7 linked regions of the Xenopus tropicalis genome follow. The protein of the gene in region 1 interacts with the protein of each later gene in a pairwise test. Links are inferred from orthologs where the notes say so. Each region holds a gene or a part of one and is shown on either strand. Other genes may lie near its edges. The genes, in order: ssx2ip, mrpl53, cchcr1, top3b, card9, fam161a and shfl.

Region 1 (2,469 bases):
TAATCCCACTTGTTCTCATAGCAGAAAAAATTAAATTTTTATGTTAAATGGTATAAAAATACAATCAGTTACGTGTCTACAACTGATATAATTTCAGTGTTCAGTTTAAAAAGATCACAGTATTCATAGTAACGCCATGTATATTCAAGTTTCCACCATTATCTGTCATGTAATTTTACTGCTGGGTACTTACCAAATGCGCTAAGCAGTATCGCATGTCATGCTTTGTAAAATTTCAGTGTGGTTAATCTTCTGTAATAGCTCCTTTTTAATGCCAAATGTTGAGCAACAACAGTTTAATATCCTCATTCCATCACAATGGCTTACACTATCTGCAGTTTTGGACACCAGTACATAGGAAGGATATTGATGAGCAAGAAATGGTGCACATGTTCAAATACGCTGATATTTAAAATGAATAGAACAATTGCACTGAAAAATAACTACCAAATATGTGTGGGTTTTTTTGTGTTTTTCACTAAACTAGCACGAATAGTTGCACTTCTCAGGAGGTGTTAAGTCGGCCACACACAAACCAAATATCATCAATACAGTGGCATAAAGGTTGCTTCTACTGATCTGAGGAGCAGTATAAAGCCATTTTCTTAAGTCTGATGAATTACACTTTAGCATCTGCCAATCTGAATGACTAGTCTGAGGCAGGTAGTGTACTCTTGGTATCTACTAAGTGATCAGTGCCCCACCTCACTAATGCTCTTGTGGATCAATGGAAGCAAATCACTTTATTTTTCCAGAAGAGTAGAAACCCTTTAGCAGCAAAGGGAATAACAGCTTCATAGCAATACCCTTGGTTTCTGAATAAAATATAGAAGCAACAGATGTCCTGATATTTTTGTTAATATAGTGTATTTGTCAGTGTCTGTGTTTTTTGAGGATGATTTAAAGATTTCATGAATGCTGCATTTCTTTAAAGATTCTGCAGAATACAGGTTACAATTATAAAAATGATTTGTCCTATTAATTAATTTGCCGTACATGTAAAAGCATAGCTTAAATCTAATCAAAACAGTATGTAAAATCATTCAACATAATGAGGTGATTGAGACTGAACAAGCATCAAATCATCAAATCTTCTTAGCTATTAATAGAATCTGCCATCACAGCAGCACCTGGCAATGGAGGGCAGTGGATGGCAGCTTTTGTTTGGGGGGTTACTTTTCTTTTAAGGAGGCCGCCAACACACTATGTGCTGTTACAGAATGTACCATTTCTGCTCAGAAGCTTGTTCTGAAATTCGCCTTTCTGTTTCAATATGTAAGCTTGTATCAATATATACTGTATTGCTAGTTTCTGTCCTCTGTGTAGTACTTTTTGTTTTACTATCTCAGTTTCTAGAAAAAGAGAGAAATACAACCTTAGCATATTTAGCTAAGGTTTAAACTAATAAAAATGTTTGTGACCTTACAAAATGACATTTTGGTAACCGATGTACATATTTTCTGTTATTGCTTGTCTTATAGAAAAAGGCCTTTGAAGAAGACAGAGCAGCTTGGTTAAAGCACCAGTTCCTGAACATGACACTGTTTTCCGACCACAAGAATTTGGAAGAAAGGAAAGCACATGGAGTTCACTTCAGTGAGTTTTAGTGCTCATACCAAAAAAACAGTTTTCTGGGATTTTTTTAATGTTATTTATATTTATCATAACTAATCGTTCTTCAAATTTTCATTTGATTAGGTCCTGAGCAAGACCATTGCAGACTGCATAGCCATCCTCATGATAGATACCTTGTATCGTCAGGAGACCATTCCAGACACCCAAGGAAAACACTGCCCATTACACCTTCTTCAAAGCACAGTCTGACTCAAAGAGAAAGGTATTATAACATGGCTTGCTATACCCATGTCTCCTTGATTTAATTTGATGAACTACCTTGTGTTGACTACCAGCATCTTTTTTGTGATGGCTTCACACCATAGTTTCAGTAGTCTTATAATCTTGGGGGTTTGTAACTCTTGTTTCAGAATGATATATGTGTAAGGATGTTTTAGGTTGTTTTAATATTGAGTGCAATATAAGAAATTTAGATAGAATATTATGAATATGTAGGCATTTCAAAAGGCTAACCGTAACGACAATTTGCATTTGCTAAAGAACATAGATGAAGGCTAATAAGTGTTGCTGAATGAGGTTCAGTGTTTTAATGTATTTTATTTTATTTATTTTTTTTAGCATTGCATGGAGAGATTCGAGCATTAGTCCAAATGGCAGTGACTTTGCAAATTAATTCCAGCTCCAGGCCGGGTCTGCATGTCTGGGAGAAGAAATCTTAAGCACTTGCACAGACAGGCTTATGTCTTGGTTATTCTTAGCTTTGTTTGCTGTAAAATACCAAAGCATTTCCCATTTAGCAACTCTATCTGATGATCTTCTACTAAATTAGCAGCAGTTTATATGGCTTTATATAGCATTACAGGATTTACCGAATTAGCACACAAAATGGGGACA
Region 2 (3,946 bases), on another chromosome or scaffold:
GTTGGACTATTTACAACTGTATATGCAACATATTTTGTTTAAAGGACAAATAAACCCCAATTCACAGGGGATGCCAATTTAATTCATAACCTGGAACCCCAGGATGGCGATTCTTGGATCTTCCAGCAAATGCACAGTATAGGAATAGTTTTCACTTTATTATACAGCTCCACCTACTGGATACTTAAATAATAAATAAATCATACCAAAGCAACCTATAAGCATTTAAGAAAGTACTTGCCCCTTTTCTTCCACAATGCAGCTGTACATAGTTGTAGGTACAGAACAGCTATACGATGAAAGAGAAAGCCTTATGTGCCTTGTAACCATCCTGATGTTCCTTTAGCTTAGCATGGTGGCAGTATATTGAATATGTATAAAAAAGCACCTGTCACTGTGCCCAGCAGAGACTGAGAGTCGGACTCAGCATACCTGTGCCATCGGGGAGAGGGTGGAATATACTGAAGTCAGGGAAGACAGGAAGGCATACAGCTGCTCTCCCCATAAATGCAAACAATAGGTGAATAATTAAATACGTAATGGGGTTGTCCACCTTTGAATTAACTTTTAGTATGATGTAGAGAGTAACAATTTGCAGCTGGTCTTCATTTTTATTGTAATTTTTTTTTTTAAAGGTAAGTTTTTGTTCAGCAGCTCTCCAGCTTGGAGTTTTAGCAGCTATTTGGTTGCTAGGCTTTAAATTACCTTAGCAACCAGGATGTGGTTTGAATGAAAGACTGATATGTGAATAGGAGTGGACCTGAATAGAAAAATAAGAAATATAAAGTAACAATAACAATTAAATTGTAGCCTCACAGAGCAACATTTTTTTGACTCAGGGGTCAGTAACCCCCTTTTGAAAGTTCCAAAGAATTAGAAGAAGAAGGTGAATAATTCAAAAACTATGAAGAACAAATAATGAAGACTTGAAAAGCTGCTTAGCACTGGGCTTTCTATAACATACTAAAAGTTAACTAAAAGGTGAACCTACCCTTTAAAAACAATATAAAAACTAAATAATGCAGGCCAACTGCAAAATTTCTAGGAATAGGCCATTCTATAACATACTATAACAAAGGTAAACTATCCTTTAATATGCTTAGCAAGATCCACCAGGCAAAGTAAAATAAAAAAATAAAAAAAAGTTGGAACAATTTGTTTGTCACATATGTGACACCACATATCACTGTGCAACCCATCACAATCTGACTGCAACCTTTAATAGACTGTAGTTATTTATAGTTGGTTTCACAGTATTTTGGCACCTCTTGGTGAAACAGCTAACACAGAGGAAGGATGAAGTAGATCATATAATTAAATATCACAACCTACATTGTTAAGACATTGTGTGTACACATTGCTAACAAAACTCTATTGGTCATCCCTGGCGCAATACACAAAAGAGATGACCAATCAGTCTTTTATTGTTAAGTATGTATATTTGTTTTGCTGTTAATATAATATGAGACTCACCAAACAGAATATCCACGTGGGGTTCACTCCGATCATGCCTCACATCTACAGCAATGTCACAGTTTGCGTTGGAAGAGCGGATTTTTTTGGAGTTTATAATATCCAAAAATTCTCTGGAAAAAGAAAAGATTCAAAATTCAAATAATTATTAGCAATAATAATAAGTATTATAATAAAATGGCTACTCCTGGAACAAGCATAATATCCAAGTCTATCATGATCTTAACATCTATTGGTATAAGTATTGGTATATGTAGTTTATATATCTGAGTGCACATAAAGGTCTGTATGTATATAAGATAGATATGTATATAAGACAGATATATGCAATGGCGGTCATTTAGAGGGGTTGAGCAGTAACTCTGGTCTAAAAATGTTCACTGGGCCCCTACACTGTGCGGAAAACCGCTTTCTGAAAATACCGTCCTACGCAGTATTTTCGGCAACCGTTTTTCCGCTTGCCGAAAATATATGCCCTACGCCTCATCTGGCATTAGCCTTAGAGAAGCTTACGTATAAACTCCACTGACCTCCCAATTAAAATGCCGACGTATTACCACATTATTTTTACTATGTTTATTAACCACTAATGACTAGTTATTGGGCCCCACAGCAATATCATTGGGCACCTAAACTTAAAAAACATATGAATTTCCATATCAAGCAATGACAACACAGAGCAGGGGCAGGTAGGTAGGAAGGGGTTAAACTTTAATGACCCCAAAACTCTGAATGACATTAGCACATCAATGGAACAGCAGTTCATATTGCACACACAAGGGGCATGGGCAAAACGGTGATACCGCACACTTGTGTTCATGGGGGGCCCCATATGGAGCCAATGGATGTAGTTATAATATAGTGGTTTAATATGGTGGAACATAGTGCAGCAGGGTGCAGGAAAGCAGTTTTACATAAGGTGCTGACCCTAGTACTGCCCTAGACTGGAATGACTGGGATTAGGAAGGTACCACCTACAACGAGGGTGGGGGGGGTGCAAACAAAATAGCTGGTACACAAGAGTGACACAAGTGCCCCATGTGTTTGTATGACCTTAGGCACTTAATGAGGAGAATGTGCTGTATATGTACATAATACTAGTTCCCCATATAGAGCCGAGTGACTGAGCGCAGTGTTGCTGCTCCTGTGGGGCACTACTTACCTAACGTGCCGGACATTGGGCTCAAAGGGACAGAATCGCACAGCGATGGACTTCACTGACTTTAGCAGCAGCTCCGAAGCACCGACAGCAGCCATCATCCCGCACACATGCAGCCAATGAGAGCGAGAATCTCCCTCTCCCACAATGCAATTCGCAAATAACTCTCCGCCCCCCGCCCCGCCAAAGCTTCCTGGGATATGTAGTTCTTTAAGCGGGGATAAAAGATGTGACGTGAGAGGAAGGTACGTACGTGTACATGTAATTTCTTAATAAGCAATAAAGCCATACCAGGTGCTGAGTGGTGCAAATAGAAGCACTGGCAATTTCACCAACTCTTGTTCACACAGGCGATCCTCCTTATGTTGCAGGTTGCATCCAGTTGCGCTTAATTCTACTGTATGTATGTATGTATATCTTTATTTATAAAGCGCTACTTATGTACATGAATACAAACGGGGTTATTTAGATCAGTGTTTTTCAACCTTTTTTGGGCAAAGGCACACTTGTTTCATGAAAAAAATCACGAGGCACACCACCATTAGAAAATGTTAAAAAATTTAACTCTGTGCCCAGCAGCAGTGCCCCCCTAGTACATTGGTGCCAAGAGCAGTGCCCCCCTAGTACATTGGTGCCCAGCAGCAGTGCCCCCCTAGTACATTGGTGCCCAGCAGCAGTGCCCCCCTAGTACATTGGTGCCAAGAGCAGTGCCCCCCTAGTACATTGGTGCCAAGAGCAGTGCCCCCCTAGTACATTGGTGCCAAGAGCAGTGCCCCCCTAGTACATTGGTGCCAAGAGCAGTGCCCCCCTAATACATTGGTGCCCAGCAGCATTTTACTTCTGCTCTTCGGCAGCTTCTCCGGTGGCTTCAGCAGCATCTTCGTATCCCTCAGGTGCGCCGCCTCTGCACTTCTGCCTACACGCGACCGCACACAGGCCCTTTTATAACGTTGCGCCCCGTGCGTACTGACATCACCCGTACACACGGGGCGCAACCAATGACAGGGCCCGGATTTTATTAAAGGGCCCCCTTTGAAAGTAAAAATTGCGGCCCTGCCTACGGCACACCAGTCAACAGGGGTTGAAAAACGCTGATTTAGATAGTAATAGATAAATACAAAGTATAACAATAAACACAAATAAATAAAAGATACAGTTGCAATAACTTAAGAGCCAAAGACACAATAGGATGGAGGTCCCTGCCCCTAATGCAACTTTATACCTTAGGACATATCTGATTTTGCGTCTGATAATGGTGGTCGCAGCTACACTGGAGTTCTGGGTAGGGAGATTTTATTGTGAGTAAAAATCATG
Region 3 (4,139 bases), on another chromosome or scaffold:
AAGACTAGTAGGCCACCATCAAGCAACCATATGTAAAAAAATGACTTTGTAAGTAAATAAAAGGAGACAAATTTTGAATGTATTAACTAAAGACGGCCATACATGGCAAGATCTGCTTGTTTGGGAAGGTCTTCAATTTTCAGCCAGATTTCTGTCAGGTAGGCCCGACGGTTGGCCCCATTTGTATAGCAATAAGTTGCCGACTCGGTGCAGAGGGACCAAGTCTGTTGGCTTTACTTATGTTAGTCTTTGTAGGCTGGTCTAATTTTTCTTATCATAAAGGATCCAGAAAAAAAAAATAATTGTGACAGCACAAATGTGATCTATCCTGCAACCTAGAGTGGAAGTGGACACGGTGGTGCTAAAAAGATTTTTCTTTAGGGCTTTTAGAAAAAAAGAAACTATTTTTCAGAATATACTGAAAATATTTTGCCTTCAATGTTTTACATATTTAATTAAATGACATGAAGTATAACTTTAAAGAACAAATAAAACTAAATTCACCAGGGGTGAATTCACTGTTCCAGTGAATCCAGTTGCTACGTTTTTCCCTCGGATTGCTAGACTTATACCTGCACATGCAGGGTCGGACTGGGCTGCCAGGACACTGGAAAAATACTTGGTGGGCCCCAGCGGCCCAGACTCGATCCTGTTTCTGCTTCCCCTGCCCACCGATGTCCTCCCCTGATGCATTGTACATACGCTTAATCAGGGGATGACGTCAGGTGGGGGAGGGTTAGGGGTGTGCGGCGGGGGCCCCTGCAGGGGATGTGGCCGGCGGAGGTACCTTGGGGGGTGCAGGGCCCCTGGGCAGTAGCCCCTGCACCCCCCAGTATGACCCTATGCATATGCAAAATCAACTAACATTCTTCCTATTCTAATAAATTACAAATGCCCAAATATAGATCTGCGAGAGGGGAGCTTGGGAAGTAAAATGGCACTGCAGTACAGTACTCCATTAGAAATTACTTTTTTTTTTTTTTTCCTTCATAGGAGTGCAGGCTCGGGGAGTATTTATTAACATCAGAGACAAACATTACCAGCAGGGTCGGACTGGGACTGGGACACCAGGAAAAATCCGGCGCTCCCCCTACTGACTGTACCTCCCCTGACGCGTTCAATTTATACATGCTCAGGGAGGATGTCAGGTGGGGGCCCTGCAGGGGGGTTAGGGGACGCGACTGGCTGGGGCACCTGCAGGAGCCCCAGTGGGCACTGCACCCACCAGTCCAACCCTGATCACCAGTGATATTGCCCATAGCAACCGGATGACATTGATGCACTGATGACATCTGTATCAAATGTTAATAACTACACCCATAGGTGACTGAATTCACTGGGAGGTGCACCCTAGGTGAAATTAGCTTTCCTTGTCCTTAAAGGTCACCTTTATATATTTAAAAATTGTTAAATTTGTGTTTTTATCATTTTGTTGCTTAAAGCAGAAGAAAGGGAAAATCACTGGGAGTGCCAGGGGGCACCCACCAGTGACTGTAATGGCTTACTTTTTATCCCAGGCTGGTGCTCCTGTTAGGAGAAAAGCATACCAGCCCGGGGTAGCTGTGAGCCAGCCATTCTCGTTCTTTTCTTGCTGCTTGCGCACAAGCAGTAGAGTAAAAAGCTGAACTAACAAAAAATCCAGCTTTTTCACTCTGCTGCGTATGCGTGGCACTCCCAGTGATTTTTAGCTTTTCTTCTCCTTTAATTTACCTATTACAGGTATGGGATCCCGTATCCAGAAACCTTTTACCCAGAAAGTTCTGAATTACAGCAAGCCCATCTCCAATAGACTCTATTAAAAGCAAATAATTCTAAAAAATTATTTTCTTTTTCTCAGTAATGAAAATAGTACCTTGTACTTGATCCCAACTAAGATAAAATTAAGCCTTATTGGAGGCAAAACAAGCCTATTGGGTTTATTCAATGCTTAAATTATTTTTAGCAGATTTAAGTTATGGAGATCCAAATTACAGAAAGATCCCTTATCCGGAAAACCCCAGGTCCTGAGCATACTGAATAACCGGTCCCATACCTGTATTATGTTATAGGATGGCCTATCCTTAGAAACTTTTTAACCAGTCTTTCAATTTTTTGGATTATGTACAATTCTCTTCTGCCGCTTTTCAGCTTTAATACAGAGTTTTGGTTGCGGGGCTTAGTGTGCCCTATTTTAAATGATTTCACTTCTATTCAGGTACTTTTCTTTTATATTGCACTCTCTCATTCAATCAACTGCTGGTGGCTAGTGTAAACAGGTGCCTAGTAACCATATTGCTGCCGACATTTCAAACTGGACAGCTGCTAAATACAAAACTTACAAATAAAAAGACCTGCATATTTTCTCAGAATTTTCCACTCTAAAACATAAGTTCATGTAAAAAATCTTGGCGTCACTGGCAAACATTTGTGTTTTGCTTACCTGCTACTACTGAGTGAATATAGGCTTGAAGTCTCTATTTCCCAACAGATCTTAATAACAATCTCGCCACTCAAGAGCATACATCTATGGATAGCATGGTAATAACAACCCGACCCATGACTGTGATGGAACTATAATACATTCCTCTGTACGCTTTCCCTTCTGCGATCAACAAATTTCGCGGCTTTAAGCCCGGGAACCAATCCCCTATCCTACTGCAGCCGTATAACTAACACCATTCCAAACAGAACTACAACAAATCCTTCCTCCTGGCAACCTTCTTTTACCCACTCACTGTTCGTATTTGTTTGTTTCCAATAAAGTTAAGCAAGATATATTTGCGTAGCTGCTATCCAATCATAAGCACAGAGGAAACTAAGCCGCCAATCATAGAAGACACGAAGTCTCTTTCGCGAGAGTTTGGCTGGTAAAAAAAAACAGGCGCGGAGAGCTCTTAACCAATCAGTATAAAGTGAGTAAAACTGTTGTCGGCTAGGTACAGTGTTTTTTTGCCAGACAGTTCGTTTGTAGGCGTGGTTACAAGGAGGTGGGTGTCAACCTATGGGCGATAACGCGCCAAATTTCAAAGGCGCGCTTCCTTCCTCTGATTTCCCGCCGTGGTCCCGGTCAGAGTTGGGCTCAGCTGGTAGCGGCGGCTCGGTGGGAACCGTGACGTCACGCACTCAGTCTCCCCCGCTATATTGCGACTCCCATGGGAAGTAATTGCTAGGGGGAGATTTGTGCATGAAGAGTACATCTACTGTAATAGTGTGGGATGCAAACTATATTGAGGTCTGCAGTGTTAGGTTAGGCAGCCTTAGTCGGTCTAGTTTCTGTTCTGTACAAGGGCATTGTGTTGCTGATAGAATTAGGTGAGATGGTTCTTCTGTGCGAGGTTTAGGGCTGCTATTAAGTATTAGTGTGCTGCACTGCGACAAAGAGCTCCACCTAAACTTATAAATAAAATCTATATATTTAGACTAGCAGGGACAGTATTTCATTGTGGGTAAGGGACTCCATTAAGGTAGTGGGAAAAAGGTGGGTTGGTCAGAAAATTGGCAGGCTGCCATGGTAGGGTCAGAAGTTGTGCTTACACAGGTACAGCCCTGTTTCCAGCTTTTGCGCATGGGCTCAAGCCCAGGACAGTCAAGCATAAATGCAAATAGCACAGCGTCCAGAGATTTGTATACTTTCCTGCCAGACTCGCCATGCTGCATCTACCGACTGGGAGCCCAGCATGATTTATGTGATGTCCCCCTCCCTGGAAAACCTGCTGTCCATGCAAAAATACATGCAGAGCGGGAGCTCTCAGGAGACTGGAAGGTTAACTTGGAAAGCTGCACTCACTTTGGTAAGTTTGTAGCCAAATAGTTCAGGATATGTAGAGATTTCATCACTCTTATCTGGTGAACAACTATTTCTTAGGTATGCCCAGGCTCTCTTTGTTTTGGGCTCATTGTACTCCACCTATCGCCCTTTATGTTTGTTATCCCAAGCCAATGCTCACACACCCTACTTAGCTGTGTTGGTAACCCTGTGAAACATACAGCGCTGCTCACAAGCCCACAGAGTGCTCTCATTCTCAAAGCTTTTATTTCCCCTGCCATAACTGTAAAGCTGGCCATACACGCACCGATAATATCGCACGGAACCTTGGTGCATGTATGGCAACTCGGCAAGGTGACCAATATGGCAGAAGGCTGCAGATATTGGTCGACTC
Region 4 (4,018 bases), on another chromosome or scaffold:
CATACAATACCTAAGAAACATAAATAATGCCTTACTCCCACACCTCCAAACATCCATAACTATAGACCTCACCTGCTGCCACAACCCATTCAGATTTGATAGATGGGTCTAGTTTCCCCAACACACTGCTCTAGAGTCAAATACCCCCCTACAGACATACAGACAAACCTAGCACAGCTCTCCTAATCTGCCCACACACTGTACCCCCACATTGGGACATCTAAATACTTATGCCCCCCCAGTAGGACTAACCCAATCTCCTCTCAAAATTCTGGTTAAAAAAAAAAAAAAAAAAAAGCACAACAGAAATTCTAAGCACACAAAATCCTACCCCCCCACAAAAAAACATCCCCCCAAATTATCTAACACACCAAAAACATCAGCACACTCCAAAATTCTTCCCTATAGCTCAAATTTTTGCCGCACGTCAACCCAATCCAACCAAAAATTCAACAACCACCCTTCAAAAAAAAAAAAAAGTACGCACCCCAGAACTTATCAGCACATTTACCCAAACAGAAAAATACAAGCACTCCACGTATAAGCAGGCTCCAATAACCCCCTAATATTAAGGGCACACACCTTACAGCAGGGATCCCCAACCTTTCTTACTTGTGAGCCACAGTCAAATGTAAAAGACTTGAGGAGCAACACAAGCACCATAAAAGTTCATGGAGGTGCCAAATAAGGGCTGTGATTGGCTATTAGGGGCCTCTATGCACACTATCAGCTTACAGGGGCTTTATTTGGTAGGAAATCTTGTTTTATTCAACCTAAACTTGCCCTCAAGTCAGGAATTCAAAAATAACTCCCTGGTTTGGGGGCACTGAGACCAACATCCAAGGGGTTGGGGAGCAACATGTTGCCCCTGAGCCACTGGTTGGGGATCACTGCCTTATAGAGACCAGCAAGGGCGTAAAAGATCCACAGCTTTCACTAAACAGCAAGTGTCCCAGTATTCAGGCAAGAACTGAATAAACTCCTACATTTACTCCTGTCCTAAGAAAAAAAATTATGCTATACTGCGCAACCCAATACTCTCTCAGTAAAGCACTGTGACACTGCCTTTACCGAGCCGTTTCTCTCCAAGGCATCCCAGAGTAACCACTGAGGGCCGCACTCACCTATAAACTTGTTTATACGGCCATTTGAAGAAGGCGCCGAATGTACGTATTGGAGACGTCACCGCGTCTTCACGTTTTGTGACGTCACTCGCGGCCATTAGCAACTAGGAGCCTAGCAGTTACCTTTCGTGAGCGGGCCGGCTGGAGCCTAGGACCTGGTCATATAAACGGGGATGCGGGACATTTAAACAGCGATCCGGGAGTGCGCGCTGTGTTATAAAATTCGTGACTGAGCAGTTGGGAGGTATAAGGAAAAAGGTCCCCTTTATACATATTAAAGCTCAACTCCCCTCTTCTCAACCTCGCTATCTTTGTTCCCTTTCTCTTACACGTAACCAAAATGTATTCCTTGCATTGCTAAAATGTTCATAAGCTATAAATGACTAAATAAAAAAATGTATTTAAGGATAATCACTTATTATGTAACAATGTTATATAAACAGAAGCTTTAATAAGATGGGATTTGCAGTTGTACCATGGTAGAAAACTTTAATTTGGCCCTGCATGACTCTACTCTATACAATGAGCAAATGTTTGTACTTAATAGTATTATAGTTCCACCTTGTGATTTCTATGCCTGTGTGTATTTTCTAAATGCAAAACACAGTTCCCAGTGCAGGGGCGAAGAAACAGAGCTACTTAGTAGCAGCTACTAGTCACAGCTACTAAACCCCAGAATAGACATAGACAATTCTGAGAATTGCCTCTGCTAAAACACACGTAGAGACAATTATCAGCAAAGGATTATCATTGTCTATTATAGTAGCCGTGGCAAGTAGCTGCTACTAGTAGCTCCGTGTGTCTTCACCCTTAAGGCACACCTGATTGGGCACGATATCAACTGATAAACATGCAATTTCTAGAAAAAACCCTAAAGGGTAAGAACCCACAGAGTGGTTTAGTTGGCTACAATAGATCTCTGCTATTGCGGGTGACTAACCACTCAGAAATGGCCTGTCGCCGGTGGAAAGACCTTTTGCATCACTTTGGTAATCAGAAGTTGCACAAAGTTTCCCCCCTGCAGGCAACTTCGATAAACAAAGCAATGCAAAGGGCTTTCCACCAGCAACTCCTATTATTGCCGGTGGAAAGCCATTTAGGAGTGGTTAGTCACCCGCAATAGCAGAGATCTATCGCGGGTGACTGAACCACTCTGTGGGTTCTTACCCTAAAGGTGAAGAGAAACGTGATTTCTTCTACATTGGTTTATATCAGCAATGTGCTGAAGCTCTCTCTAAAGCTGTTGCACAGGCCAGTAAGAACTGCCATCCCTGACTGAATAACAACTTCTTAGCCTGTGAACAGGGCAATAATAATGGCACCTGTTTTTAATGTACAATGGTACATTAATCGGATATATATCCTGACAAAGTCTCACCTGGTGACGACTGCAGTTTATTAGGCAAGGCCACCAGGTGATTTGTATCCACAGAAGGGGTAACAAATACCTTATGTCTGTTTGCAGTTAACTAAGGTTCAGATTTATCAAAATGTGAGATAAGAGCTCACCACAGGAAAAAAAATCACCTGCTTTACATTCATTCCTGTGGGATTTGTAGAATTGTATTTATCAATGGGTGAAATTTAGAATTTGCTATTTAATAAATACATTTCTAAAACTTCCATAGGAATTAATAGAAAGTTTTTCTGTCTAATCTCACATTTTGATAAATCTGCTCTTTTGCTTACTGGTGTTTTTAAGCAATATAAGCAACACTAAATGATCATAAGCAAACTGTAATACCAGTCCTTAGATATTGGGATATTGAATAGGGAGAGTATACAATATATACATTGAAACTTTACTATTACTACTCTTATTTACAAGGACCATCCTATTCTCACTGGACACGTGTGCCTTAATAAGTGAATAATGAAGACAGTACTCATGGTTGCAGAGAAGCCTTCATTGGCACAGTCAATCGCAAAGATTCTTTCTAGAGGTAAGTGTCAGAACATGTATTTCATAGCACAATTGCAAGGGTTGCAGGATGTGTTGTTGCATAATTGGAAAGCAAAAAAAAAAAATCGAAAGGAAGCGTTTTGTTGCACCTGCGTTAGGTTATTACATGTGCCTTTGTTAGTACAGCCTTATTAGAAAGAATGAAATGAATTTCTTCCTGTGTTCCCCTGCAGTGACCTGCAGGACATTTACCAGGTCTGTAAATGATAGTTAAGGGGATATTATTTTTGTTTGTAATAGTGTTCAGCATATGTGCATATGTAGAACCCTTGGTAAATAACTGTCACTCATAAAATCTTCTATAATACATTACAGGGAGTGCCTCCTCTCGTAAAGGACTGAATGGTGCGTGCTCTGTTCATGAATACACAGGATCATTCATGGGACAGACTGTGCGCTTCAAGATGACATCTGTCTGTGGTCACGTTATGAGCTTGGACTTTATAGGTAGTGTGAATATTTTCTTTCATCTCTGTTGCCATTTTGTATATTATATAAGACTTCTAAATGCACGCGTTAGCAGTTTAATTATATCCTTAAAAGGCTCTGCCTTTTAGCATTCACTTGAGTAACTTCTTTCAGCCTTTTCATAAAATATATGGACTATAAGTGCAGTTAACTTAATTGTAGGGCCTATCAAAGTGCAGCAATTTCATAAAGGTCTTTGAAAGTTGATTTAAAAGTTAAGCTTTATATTATGATATAACTTTTTTTATTTGTGACTTCTATATAATACATATATCCTCCACTATGGGGATCCTATTCTTTCTAGTTTTGGTCATTCTAAAGTGCTTCAGAAAATTATTCTAGGCAGTATAGTCTGTTCACCATCTTTTGGCTCATTCTAAATGAATTGCATTTAAAAGTGTGCTATGTATATCAGTAAGCTTATACCAAATCAGTGAAAAAGGAAAATGTATAAACCCTAATG
Region 5 (4,211 bases), on another chromosome or scaffold:
CAATTCTGTACATGGTTCCATCTACAAACTTCAATCCTGTACATGGTTCCATCTACAAAATTCAATTCTGTACATGGTTCCAGGAACAAAATTCAATTCTGTACATGGTCCAGCTACAATATTCAATTCTGTACATGGTTCCAGCTACAAAATTCAATTCTGTACATGGTCCAGCTACAAAATTCAATTCTGTACATGGTCCAGCTACAAAATTCAATTCTGTACAGGGTCCAGCTACAAAATTCAATTCTGTACATGGTCCAGCTACAAAATTCAATTCTGTACGTGGTCCAGCTACAAAATTCAATTCTGTACATGGTCCAGCTACAAAATTCAATTCTGTACATGGTTCCAGCTACAAAATTCAATTCTGTACATGGTTCCAGCTACAAAATTCAATTCTGTACATGGTCCAGCTACAATATTCAATTCTGTATATGGTTCCATCTGCAAAATAATATCCTGTACATGTTTCCAGCTACAAAATTCAATCCTGTACATGGTTCCATCTACAAAATTCAATTCTGTACATGGTCCAGCTACAAAATTCAATTCTGTACGTGGTCCAGCTACAAAATTCAATTCTGTACATGGTCCAGCTACAAAATTCAATTCTGTACATGGTTCCAGCTACAAAATTCAATTCTGTACATGGTTCCAGCTACAAAATTCAATTCTGTACATGGTTCCAGCTACAATATTCAATTCTGTACATGGTCCAGCTACAAAATTCAATTCTGTACATGTTCCAGCTACAAAATTCAATTCTGTACATGGTCCAGCTCCAAAATGATATCCTGTACATGGTTTCAGCTACAAAATTATATCCTGTACATGGTTCCAGCTACAAAATTCAATTCTGTACATGGTCCAGCTACAAAATTCAATTCTGTACATGGTTCTGTACACAATTCTGCCTCCCTGCAGACTGGACCAGTGCTATAGAATGGGTTAGATAGGGTAAGTGCTAAATACACACAGAGCATAAGTTTCTAAATAGCCGCAGTAGTTACACTGAATTAAAGGCAAAGTTATATATATTTCGATAAGAAAGAGAGATCAGATTAACTCTCTGGGGCCTGGGAGAGGGGGTTACAATAAAGGGTAAGCTCACCTCTTCTAGAACAGTTGGTCCGTCTGGGAGCTTTCAGCCAAGCGTCTTACTCCGTCCCATGTCAGAGAGCAGGAATGGCAAGGAGAGAAGGAGAGGTGTAGAGCACGGGGGTTTGGGAGGGGCGAAGGCGGCTGTGTAGAAATGACTTCCTGGTCTGCACACAGTCGCATACCACAGTGCAGCTTCACAGTCTGCAGAGATCACTTCCCATTACTGGCTGCACGGCTGCTGCTGCTGGGGAGTCACATGGAGAGGCAGTGAGGTTAGGAACGTTAATGACCAATGAGCCACCGGGCAATAAACAGTGCAATATTCTAGTGATGCAGAGAGTGCTATTCTGAGAAAACTTGCAATTGGTCTTCGTTTTTTGTTATTTGTAGTTTCTTAGTTATTTCACTTTGCTCAGCAGCTCTCCAGTTTGGAGTTTCAGCAGCTATTTGGTTGCTAGGGTCCAAGTTATGTTAGCAACCAGGGAGTGGTTTGGATGAGAGATTGGTATATGAATAGGAGAGGGACTGAATAGAAAGATAAGGAATAAAAAGTAACAATAACAATAAAACTGGAGCCTCACAGAGCAATAGGTTTTGGCTGCCGGGGTCAGTGACCCTGTTGCTGGGGCTCCAATTACCTTAGCAACCAGGGTGTGGTTTGAATGAGAGACTGGTATATGAATAGGGGAGGGGCTGAATAGAAAGATAAGGAATAAAAAGTAACAATAACAATAAAACTGGAGCCTCACAGAGCAATTGTTTCCGGCTGCCGGGGTCAGTGACCCCCAAAGAGTTGGTAGAAGAAGGCAAATATTTAAACTATAGGAAATAAATAATGAAGACCAGTTGAAAAGTTGCTTAGAAATGGCCATTCTATAACATACACAAATTACCTTGAAGGTAAACCGCCCCTTTACGAGCAGCATTTGCCCAGCTCCCCCCCCTTTCCCAGGTATGGCAAGTCACCCTATCAGAATTCGGAGGAGAGCAAATATGCCACACAGCCCACATTCCACCCTGATTGGCATTCAGCCTCGGCATCCGGACACATTACACCACTCACGTGGCTAAAGAAGGTGTACTTTCCCTTTAATTGTAATTATTCATTTAATTGTAAGTAACGAGGGCAATTAGCGACTTACCTTACCCACGGGGGAAGGACTTATTCATCAAGAACGCACGGCCGGGTGGGGCAATTAATAGAGACCGGCGGATGCCTACAGTGCTCACTAATTGGCTTAATTGCACCCATTAGAGGTCAGCTGACCTCGCACACACTCGGCCAACCTGCTCCCAAAATCAACCCACACGGATACAGCCCCCCCCAATGTTATTGGCTACTCCCCCTTACTATTTAGCTCCTCCCCCAGCGGCTACGGTTTCTATATGTGCATACAGGACCCTCCAATCAGGATCCTGAAGGTTTTACCTTCCCATAATTCCAAGAGGAAATGGGTTTGGCCTTTACACAGAACACCTGGATCTGCTAAACAAAGGTGGGGGGGGGTCGTCACCAACCTGTGGCAGATACCGGACCCGTTGGGACATGTCGGTTGCCTGAGATCGTCACTGGGAATTCCACGTGCTCGGAACTGATTGGCTCGTGGCTTCCGGTGGCTGCATGTGGCTCGGCCGTTCCGCTGGGATTGGGGAGTCGGCGTTGGAGGCCGGGAGAGAAGAGAGGGGGGGGTCGGAGGAGTCTTCCGAGAGTGAAAATTGGGATAAAAGTGGATTAAAGGGGAAGGGGGGGGCAAAAGGTATTTGCCTTGGGTGTCAGTTTCGATTGCCCCAGTTCTGCTGTCAGTGACTTATTTTGGGGGTGTATGGATGGACAGATGTGCCCCCCTGTCCCCTCACACAGGCCATTGGGCTATCTGGGCAACCATGTATATGGCCCAATCACACCCGCCATGTCTATCCATTCAAGCTTTCCTCTCTATGATTTTATCTCTCCCCTCCTCGCACTAAATGACTCCCCTGGGGCACCATCTCCAGTATGCGCCACTGTCTCACCCCTGGCACCCTATACCCACAGCGAGCTACTCCCAAACATGGCAAAGCTGGGCATCCCATCTGATCTCCATATGGGAAGTGTCGTTCCAAGATGGCTGTACATGGGGGAGAGGCAAGGTGCAGGCGGTACATGGGGGAGAGGCAAGGTGCAGGCGGTACATGGGGGAGAGGCAAGGTGCAGGCGGTACATGGGGGAGAGGCAAGGTGCAGGCGGTACATGGGGGAGAGGCAAGGTGCAGGCGGTACATGGGGGAGAGGCAAGGTGCAGGCGGTACATGGGGGAGAGGCAAGGTGCAGGCGGTACATGGGGGAGAGGCAGGGTGCAGGCGGTACATGGGGGAGAGGCAAGGTGCAGGCGGTACATGGGGGAGAGGCAAGGTGCAGGCGGTACATGGGGGAGAGGCAAGGTGCAGGCGGTACATGGGGGAGAGGCAAGGTGCAGGCGGTACATGGGGGAGAGGCAAGGTGCAGGCGGTACATGGGGGAGAGGCAAGGTGCAGGCGGTACATGGGGGAGAGGCAAGGTGCAGGCGGTACATGGGGGAGAGGCAAGGTGCAGGCGGTACATGGGGGAGAGGCAAGGTGCAGGCGGTACATGGGGGAGAGGCAAGGTGCAGGCGGTACATGGGGGAGAGGCAAGGTGCAGGCGGTACATGGGGGAGAGGCAAGGTGCAGGCGGTACATGGGGGAGAGGCAAGGTGCAGGCGGTACATGGGGGAGAGGCAAGGTGCAGGCGGTACATGGGGGAGAGGCAAGGTGCAGGCGGTACATGGGGGAGAGGCAAGGTGCAGGCGGTACATGGGGGAGAGGCAAGGTGCAGGCGGTACATGGGGGAGAGGCAAGGTGCAGGCGGTACATGGGGGAGAGGCAAGGTGCAGGCGGTACATGGGGGAGAGGCAAGGTGCAGGCGGTACATGGGGGAGAGGCAAGGTGCAGGCGGTACATGGGGGAGAGGCAAGGTGCAGGCGGTACATGGGGGAGAGGCAAGGTGCAGGCGGTACATGGGGGAGAGGCAAGGTGCAGGCGGTACATGGGGGAGAGGCAAGGTGCAGGCGGTACATGGGGGAGAGGCAAACACAGGCTATGCACCATACA
Region 6 (3,955 bases), on another chromosome or scaffold:
AGCCCTGCACTCACACAAGCACAGACAGGCTTCAGTTCCCTATCAGGTCAGCCTAGCTGCTGATTGGTTCCTATCCTACAGTGCAGTTTATGGAGGGCCGCTGGCACCCCCTGCACATCCAAAGAATTCAGCCAGCAGGAAGTGGAACAGATGGGCGGGGCTAGTGGGGTTTGGGGGAATTTCTCAATAAATCAGTCTGAAATACAACTTTTTAAAGCACATTCCTTCTATGTCTAGAGGAGTATAATTCACTGGTACATTCATTATTTTTATAAGATATGTCTCCTTTAAGGTATGTGTAACCTTAATTTGTTTGTGTAAAATAACATAAATATACATGAAAGGTACACACATGCCATAGGAGTATAGTCAAGTGCTATTTATAATGCTCCTAAATTATGATCAAGCACCCAAAAAGTAATTTACAGAAAATAAAGGATGCTATTCAGTAAGATTACAGTTCCCACAATGCTTTGAAATGTATTACAACTTTAATAGTTTAACCTTAATGCCAGGAAGGTCTAGCGTAAAAAAAGAAGAGATCACCCTAAATTCAACAATGAGCCTTTGTAAGTAAGTAGGCACCTCCTATGGTCACCCTTATGAGCCTTACCCACCCCTTCTCTGGCTCTTGGGCACACAAATTAAAAACCACGGGCATATGAAAAGCTATCTGAAGGCAAATAAACTAATAACTGCACTTTGTGCATTATTCCGCCCCTACCGGGATTATTATCCGCTCTCTTCCAAATCCGTGCGGAGGGGGCTGTAGTGCTCTCGCCTCAGCCAATCAGAGCGCAGGGTGGGCACTATCGCTAGAGCGCCCTATAGGAAAGCGGAGCTAGAGTATTGTGTTGGCAGCCGGCGCTTTAGATGTCGCCAAATGTATATGTGTGGGCTGAAGTTTGGAGCTGGTTATGCTCTGCCTTTGGGAGTACCCTAAGCACTCGCATTTCCACCATCATTAGTCTCATTCTGCGGCAGATAAACTAAAGCTGGATGCAAAACTCTGGAAGCCTGCGCCAGTTGCTGCTCTGAAAACAGCGCGCTCTAGGTTATTGTCTCCTTTCTCTCATGCCATGTGGCGTGGCTTCAGTTTGTGATCGCTTTAGAGGTTGGTCTCTCGCAGACTCCGTAGCGTCGGCGGTTGCCAGGCAGCGGCCAAAGCTGAAGGTTCCGTGCCAATATGGCGCAGGCTCACAAGGAATCAGTGCTCGCTGCCGCCTGTGTGAGGACCCCTGTGAACCCCTACACCAAAGCACCGCTTGCCCTGTACGAACGGGAGTTGGGGGAAAGGCAACAACAACGAACTGCCTCTGTCTCACCCCAGAGACTTCCAAGAACATCAATGGTATGGATACTATTCTTACAGCTGGAATATTAAAGCTCATAGAAACCTAAAGATAGCAAACTTCTTAACAATTTATCTCTGAGCTAAACTTATATATACAAATATATTTATTACAAATGTCCCATTGTGTTAAAGTTATTTGTAAGTAGAACTTCTTTTGATAGCTTCATCTGTCAAACTGCTGGTTGTAACTAGTGAAACAATGTAGCAGAGGGCAGCTGATTCACAGACAGGGCTAGGAACAGGCAAGTGGCTGCTGCTACAGTGCTTCATTAGACAGATCTAAATGGCAATTACATTTACAGTTCACTTTAAAATATGAATATACATAAAAAGTTACCTATAGGTCATGTTGATGGTGTCTCGCTGACAGGTTTGCTTTTGTAAGTAATTGTTACTTGAAGTTCCTACACCTGACTGTTTTGCCAACCTGACTGTCCCTTCCCAGCCTGTCAGTTACAGCTTCTAATGCTAACAGACAAATATGGCTGCCCCCACTTAGAGGAACCGAGGATCAGACAGGTAATGTAAACGCATCAGGCAAATATTTTTATGGCAAAATTCTAAAGTTCTTGCAAAGACAATGTTATTATAGATGTAAAAAAAAAGATTTACTTTCTGGTGTCAGTATCTCTTTAAGACCATTGAAAAATGTTTATGAATTTCTGTTGGAAAGTTTCGTAGATTTACGTTTTTTATTAGGCAAACATGGTATTTTGGGGTTTACAGCCTGGTTTGTTCTGCTGTAACTTATAGACAGTAGGCATATGAGTTGGGCACAGGCGGCAAACATTAGAACTCTGTTTGGAACAGAACCTTTGGGTTCCCAAGTGTTGCTGGCCCCACAACTCCTTTGTTATATGTTGAAGAATGGTAGGTAAGCCCAGAACTAGGGGTAGGCAGAAGGGGCATGTGCCTAAGGTGCAATTATAGGGCAGGGCTTTGGAGTTGGTACATATATCCAGTGACTCCTCAGTTTATGGTACTTCAGACTCCAGGTACCCAAATTTGCTTCTGACTCTACAAATCTGACTCCACAGCCCTGGCCAGTCTATGGAGTCTTTACATAAATCCTTCAGCTACTCAGTAGTTGCTTCTGACTCCGACTCCACTTGGGGGGTGCTACTCATTGGGATAATGTTTACAAAAAAGTAACAGAGGCTGCTGACCCTGCTGATGGGAGATGTAGTTAAACAATCGCTGGAGGGCCGCAGGTTTGACATCGCTGTATTACTTAGTTAGCCTGGGCATGGAAGGGCAGCATGCTCTGGGAATTATCTCTAGCCTGTCATCTGGTGTTTATTTTATAAGCCTATTCGGCACCGGTTAATTAACAGATGGGATCATGTGATGCCAGTGCTAATTATACAGAGTGCTATTTGGCACATCAGTTACATTTACATGCTAATAATGGTGAAAAGCTGAACAGTATAAGCTACAATGTAGGGGATCCCGTTTAAAAGAGGATTAGATTGGTAGTTATTTTTAGTGACTATAGAGCATTAGCTGGGAAGCAATTTACTGAATTAAGCAGAGCACTGGCAAACCCGTGATGGTGTTGTCTCAATGTCTATAAAATCTGCAGGGCTGAAAAGAGATCTCATAGTCATTATATCTGGAGAAGGAAAGCGTACAGGGAGTGGGGGAGAGTATGGACCTGTCCCAAAACTTACATTCATGTCACACTTAACACAAGTAAAACATTGACAACTAGTTACGGATGCACCAAATCCAGGATTCGGTTTAGGATTTGGCCAAGATTCAGCCTTTTTCAGCAGGATTCATATTCAGCTGAATCCACGCTCCTGGCCAAACCAAATCTGAATCCTTAAAAACACTTTTTGTCACATAAATACGGAAGTTGAACATTTTTTGCTGCACTCGTTAACCCTTCCGTGTCCTAATTTACATATGCAAATTTGGATTTGGTTCGGTATTTGGACAAATCTTTTACGAAGGGTTCGGGGTTTGGATGAATCCGAAAATAGTGGATCCCTGCAACTAGTATTTTTGTACAATAAAAGAAAATGTAATTTTAAGCAAATATGTTAATGAAAGGTTTTCAGTGGTTTTAAAATTACTTACTATATTTGTGCATTTGACGCACGTTCAGAATGTAATAGAATGAAGAAATGACTGTTGAACTTACAAGAACACACTTACTTGCATCTAAATCAATGCACGTGAATGCAATAAATGGGAAAATAGAAGCAAAAGATGGCAGCTCTGTGCTTTAATAAAAACATTTTTCAAAGATGAGTAGCACCCACAGGAGTCCGTGAGGCTGGTAACAAATTGGCATCTCCACGGTGAATTTGTCTGTGTTGTCCTTTAATCCCTGCCCATTCATTTATTATATTTCTGTTATATGTAGATATAAGCTTATGATGCTCTGTTAAATTTTCCTATATTATAAATTTTTTTTCTTTATACAGTTTATATATATATATAAATATATATCTCAAATTAACCAGTGATGTGCAAGGAAATGACTAATAAACAGAGATAATGGGAGACTGAAACAAGAGATGCAACAGGCCCTGCCCACAAGAGATTACAGGCTATATCTGTTAGCAGTGTAAGCTTATTATGGTGTATGCTGTG
Region 7 (2,297 bases), on another chromosome or scaffold:
AGACTTATGCTACTTCTCTAATTTCTGTCTGTCTTTTCCCTAGGGGTTTCGGGCAGATAGAAGTCAGCAGTCCGTGTTATGTGTGTAGAAACCCTGTGCTGCCCAGCTGTATCCTCCCACCTCGCCGGAACCAAGGCCCTCGAACCCGCAATACTCACAGCTGTTTAGCCGAAAATTGTTACAACCGAAGAGGTGAGTAGGATTCCACAGGGGGAGGAAGGAGAGATATTGCAAGGGGTGGGCTCTATTTACCAAGCACGTCCTTCTAAGCTGGCCATACACAGTCTGACAGTAGATGCCAATATGGCCAGTGTTTATAGGTCCAACTCATAAGCCCGCCAACGGTTCACCACATCAGGCTGTTGATGCAGTTTTACCCCAAAGGACCATTTGGGATCCCATTGGCTTGGGAATGAATGACTGGATCAGCCCACTTTAGCTTATGGCCATATCGGCCACTCATTTGGTGAATCTTTACAGCCATAGCCAACTCTGATCTCTTTAATGCCCTCCTTGCAGTACCCTTCGTTGCTGGCCTGCAGTGCGCCCATCCAAAAAGCCGAATCATGAACCAGCTCCCCAAAGTGCTGCACCCCAGTGAGCCCCACATCAGTACAGGCTCCACCATAGCAACCTGCCTGAGCCAAGGGAGTCTGACCGAAAACGATATTGATGACATCATACTGGACGATATCAAGGAGGAGGAAGAGGATGAGGGAAGTGATGACAGTGATGGCTAAGGACACGTGTTTATTAGGTACCCGCTGGCCGAGCGTAAGTGGAGAGTGGCTTGGCCAGACCGAGACCAAAGCCCAACACTGTCAGAGCCTCTCCATATAACCTGTAGGCCACTGGCTTGCTTCTGTTTAATACTTATCTCTCTCCTGGCTGCAGATTAGAACATACTCATTTCTATTTCAGTTCCTGTAATTTCAGTTTATCAGTGTACCTAGTGCAGACGAAAGCTGAGTCACATTGGCTTAGCCAGCAGAAGTGTAGGGACTACGTTCCCATAGTGCCTTAATCTTTTTCACAAGTAACCAGAACTGGTCCATACAACTCACACTTCATATATCCTTCACCAGCAGGACTTCATACTCGTCTTAAAGCTTCATTTGCTCCATATATTTATCAATATAATCTTTTACTTTAAAGCCTTATCCTGCTCCACAAAGTCCTCTTGGCTCTCCATGTAAGCCTTCCCTATAGACCTTGTTGCTGCAGATATTTCCTATCTATAACCCCTCCCTATAACTCCTCCTATTGCTCCATATAACCCTTCCCTATAACTCCTCATATTGCTCCATATAACTCCTCCCTATAACTCCTCCTATTGCTCCATATAACCCCTCCCTATACCTCCTCCTATTGCTCCATATAACCCCTCCCTATAACTCCTCCTATTGCTCCAATTAACTCCTCCTATTGTTCCATATAACTCCTCCCTATCACTCTTCCTATTGCTCCATGTAACTCCTCCTATTGTTCCATATAACCCCTCCTTATTACACTTCTGGTCAAACTCCTCCTACTTCTCAAAATGACACTTGATTTAGGTGCCTGTAGCAGAAGCCAGAGTTAGACATGAATGTAGCACTTATTGCTTTTAGCAGATTTGCGTCTGCATCTTTTGCTGCAAAAAAAGCATTGGCACTTAAGCCCCCTATAAGGGTCACTTTCCATTTCAGTTTCTCTTTTTTGAAGATGTATATATTTGAAAAAAAAAATTGTTCTTGCTATCTTAACGTGTTTTTCTGAAATGCAAAGATTTTTCAGAATAAAAAAAAAAAAAAATAAGACTCGAAAACTCGATTGACCTTTATCTGAAACCATGAAAAGAGATAAAAGATTCATATATGGAAAATGATGATACATGGGATTTACAGTGTATATAAACTCTTTATTATACATACATGGCAATGACCATTATAAGATGATCCTGAGCAATGGATCAGTGCTAGGGTTACCCCCACCCTCTTATTAAAACCTCACACATATACTGTATCTACATCGCACTTGCCCAATTAACACTGCTGCAGCCTGCACTGGTTTTTGCATCAGATCAATAGCCATTGAAAACAGATGTTAAAGGGGGTATGTGTGTGTGTGAGAGAGCAGAGATGTCAAGTGATCCCATATCATTGGGGGTAATAGAGATCCGCTTTTTTGAGGCCTTATTTCATGCCATAGGGTTACTTGATGTCTGTGCAGGGTGAGTCTAGTCATTATACATTTGGTTTGATCATCATGGACACCTTCTTAAGAGAGTAGGCACCACCGCGAAATTCAGCCCAATA

Evidence for each region.
Region 2: the proteins of ssx2ip (region 1) and mrpl53 interact in binary tests that used the Homo sapiens proteins (3 or more experiments, as listed by UniProt). The two-hybrid records come from large-scale screens. The link is inferred for Xenopus tropicalis from reciprocal best matches to the Homo sapiens genes SSX2IP and MRPL53.
Region 3: the proteins of ssx2ip (region 1) and cchcr1 interact in binary tests that used the Homo sapiens proteins (3 or more experiments, as listed by UniProt). The link is inferred for Xenopus tropicalis from reciprocal best matches to the Homo sapiens genes SSX2IP and CCHCR1.
Region 4: the proteins of ssx2ip (region 1) and top3b interact in binary tests that used the Homo sapiens proteins (3 or more experiments, as listed by UniProt). The two-hybrid records come from large-scale screens. The link is inferred for Xenopus tropicalis from reciprocal best matches to the Homo sapiens genes SSX2IP and TOP3B.
Region 5: the proteins of ssx2ip (region 1) and card9 interact in binary tests that used the Homo sapiens proteins (3 or more experiments, as listed by UniProt). The two-hybrid records come from large-scale screens. The link is inferred for Xenopus tropicalis from reciprocal best matches to the Homo sapiens genes SSX2IP and CARD9.
Region 6: the proteins of ssx2ip (region 1) and fam161a interact in binary tests that used the Homo sapiens proteins (3 or more experiments, as listed by UniProt). The two-hybrid records come from large-scale screens. The link is inferred for Xenopus tropicalis from reciprocal best matches to the Homo sapiens genes SSX2IP and FAM161A.
Region 7: the proteins of ssx2ip (region 1) and shfl interact in binary tests that used the Homo sapiens proteins (3 or more experiments, as listed by UniProt). The two-hybrid records come from large-scale screens. The link is inferred for Xenopus tropicalis from reciprocal best matches to the Homo sapiens genes SSX2IP and SHFL.

The regions. Positions count from the first base shown.
Region 1 is NC_030680.2:77,508,229-77,510,697, forward strand, and holds part of ssx2ip (afadin- and alpha-actinin-binding protein), read left to right. Parts: intron 1-1,481; coding exon 1,482-1,596; intron 1,597-1,698; coding exon 1,699-1,837; intron 1,838-2,193; coding exon 2,194-2,248; 3' UTR 2,249-2,469. UniProt on the Homo sapiens protein: Belongs to an adhesion system, which plays a role in the organization of homotypic, interneuronal and heterotypic cell-cell adherens junctions (AJs).
Region 2 is NC_030682.2:123,899,100-123,903,045, reverse strand, and holds the start of mrpl53 (39S ribosomal protein L53, mitochondrial), read right to left. Parts: upstream 2,801-3,946; 5' UTR 2,731-2,800; coding exon 2,636-2,730; intron 1,587-2,635; coding exon 1,474-1,586; intron 1-1,473.
Region 3 is NC_030684.2:75,143,476-75,147,614, reverse strand, and holds the start of cchcr1 (coiled-coil alpha-helical rod protein 1), read right to left. Parts: upstream 2,801-4,139; 5' UTR 2,420-2,800; intron 1-2,419. Other genes in the region: tcf19 (transcription factor 19), read left to right, coding at 3,488-3,770. UniProt on the Homo sapiens protein: May be a regulator of keratinocyte proliferation or differentiation.
Region 4 is NC_030677.2:153,942,775-153,946,792, forward strand, and holds the start of top3b (DNA topoisomerase 3-beta-1), read left to right. Parts: upstream 1-1,218; 5' UTR 1,219-1,368; intron 1,369-2,952; 5' UTR 2,953-2,997; coding exon 2,998-3,067; intron 3,068-3,402; coding exon 3,403-3,534; intron 3,535-4,018. UniProt on the Homo sapiens protein: Releases the supercoiling and torsional tension of DNA introduced during the DNA replication and transcription by transiently cleaving and rejoining one strand of the DNA duplex.
Region 5 is NC_030684.2:6,411,995-6,416,205, forward strand, and holds the start of card9 (caspase recruitment domain-containing protein 9), read right to left. Parts: upstream 2,801-4,211; 5' UTR 2,623-2,800; intron 2,431-2,622; exon of another isoform or gene 2,247-2,430; intron 1,349-2,246; 5' UTR 1,115-1,348; intron 1-1,114. UniProt on the Homo sapiens protein: Adapter protein that plays a key role in innate immune response against fungi by forming signaling complexes downstream of C-type lectin receptors.
Region 6 is NC_030681.2:33,455,500-33,459,454, forward strand, and holds the start of fam161a (protein FAM161A), read left to right. Parts: upstream 1-1,155; 5' UTR 1,156-1,186; coding exon 1,187-1,351; intron 1,352-3,955. UniProt on the Homo sapiens protein: Involved in ciliogenesis.
Region 7 is NC_030679.2:136,804,603-136,806,899, reverse strand, and holds the end of shfl (shiftless antiviral inhibitor of ribosomal frameshifting protein homolog), read left to right. Parts: intron 1-43; coding exon 44-192; intron 193-519; coding exon 520-740; 3' UTR 741-1,797; downstream 1,798-2,297. Other genes in the region: angptl6 (angiopoietin-related protein 6), read right to left, coding at 2,226-2,297.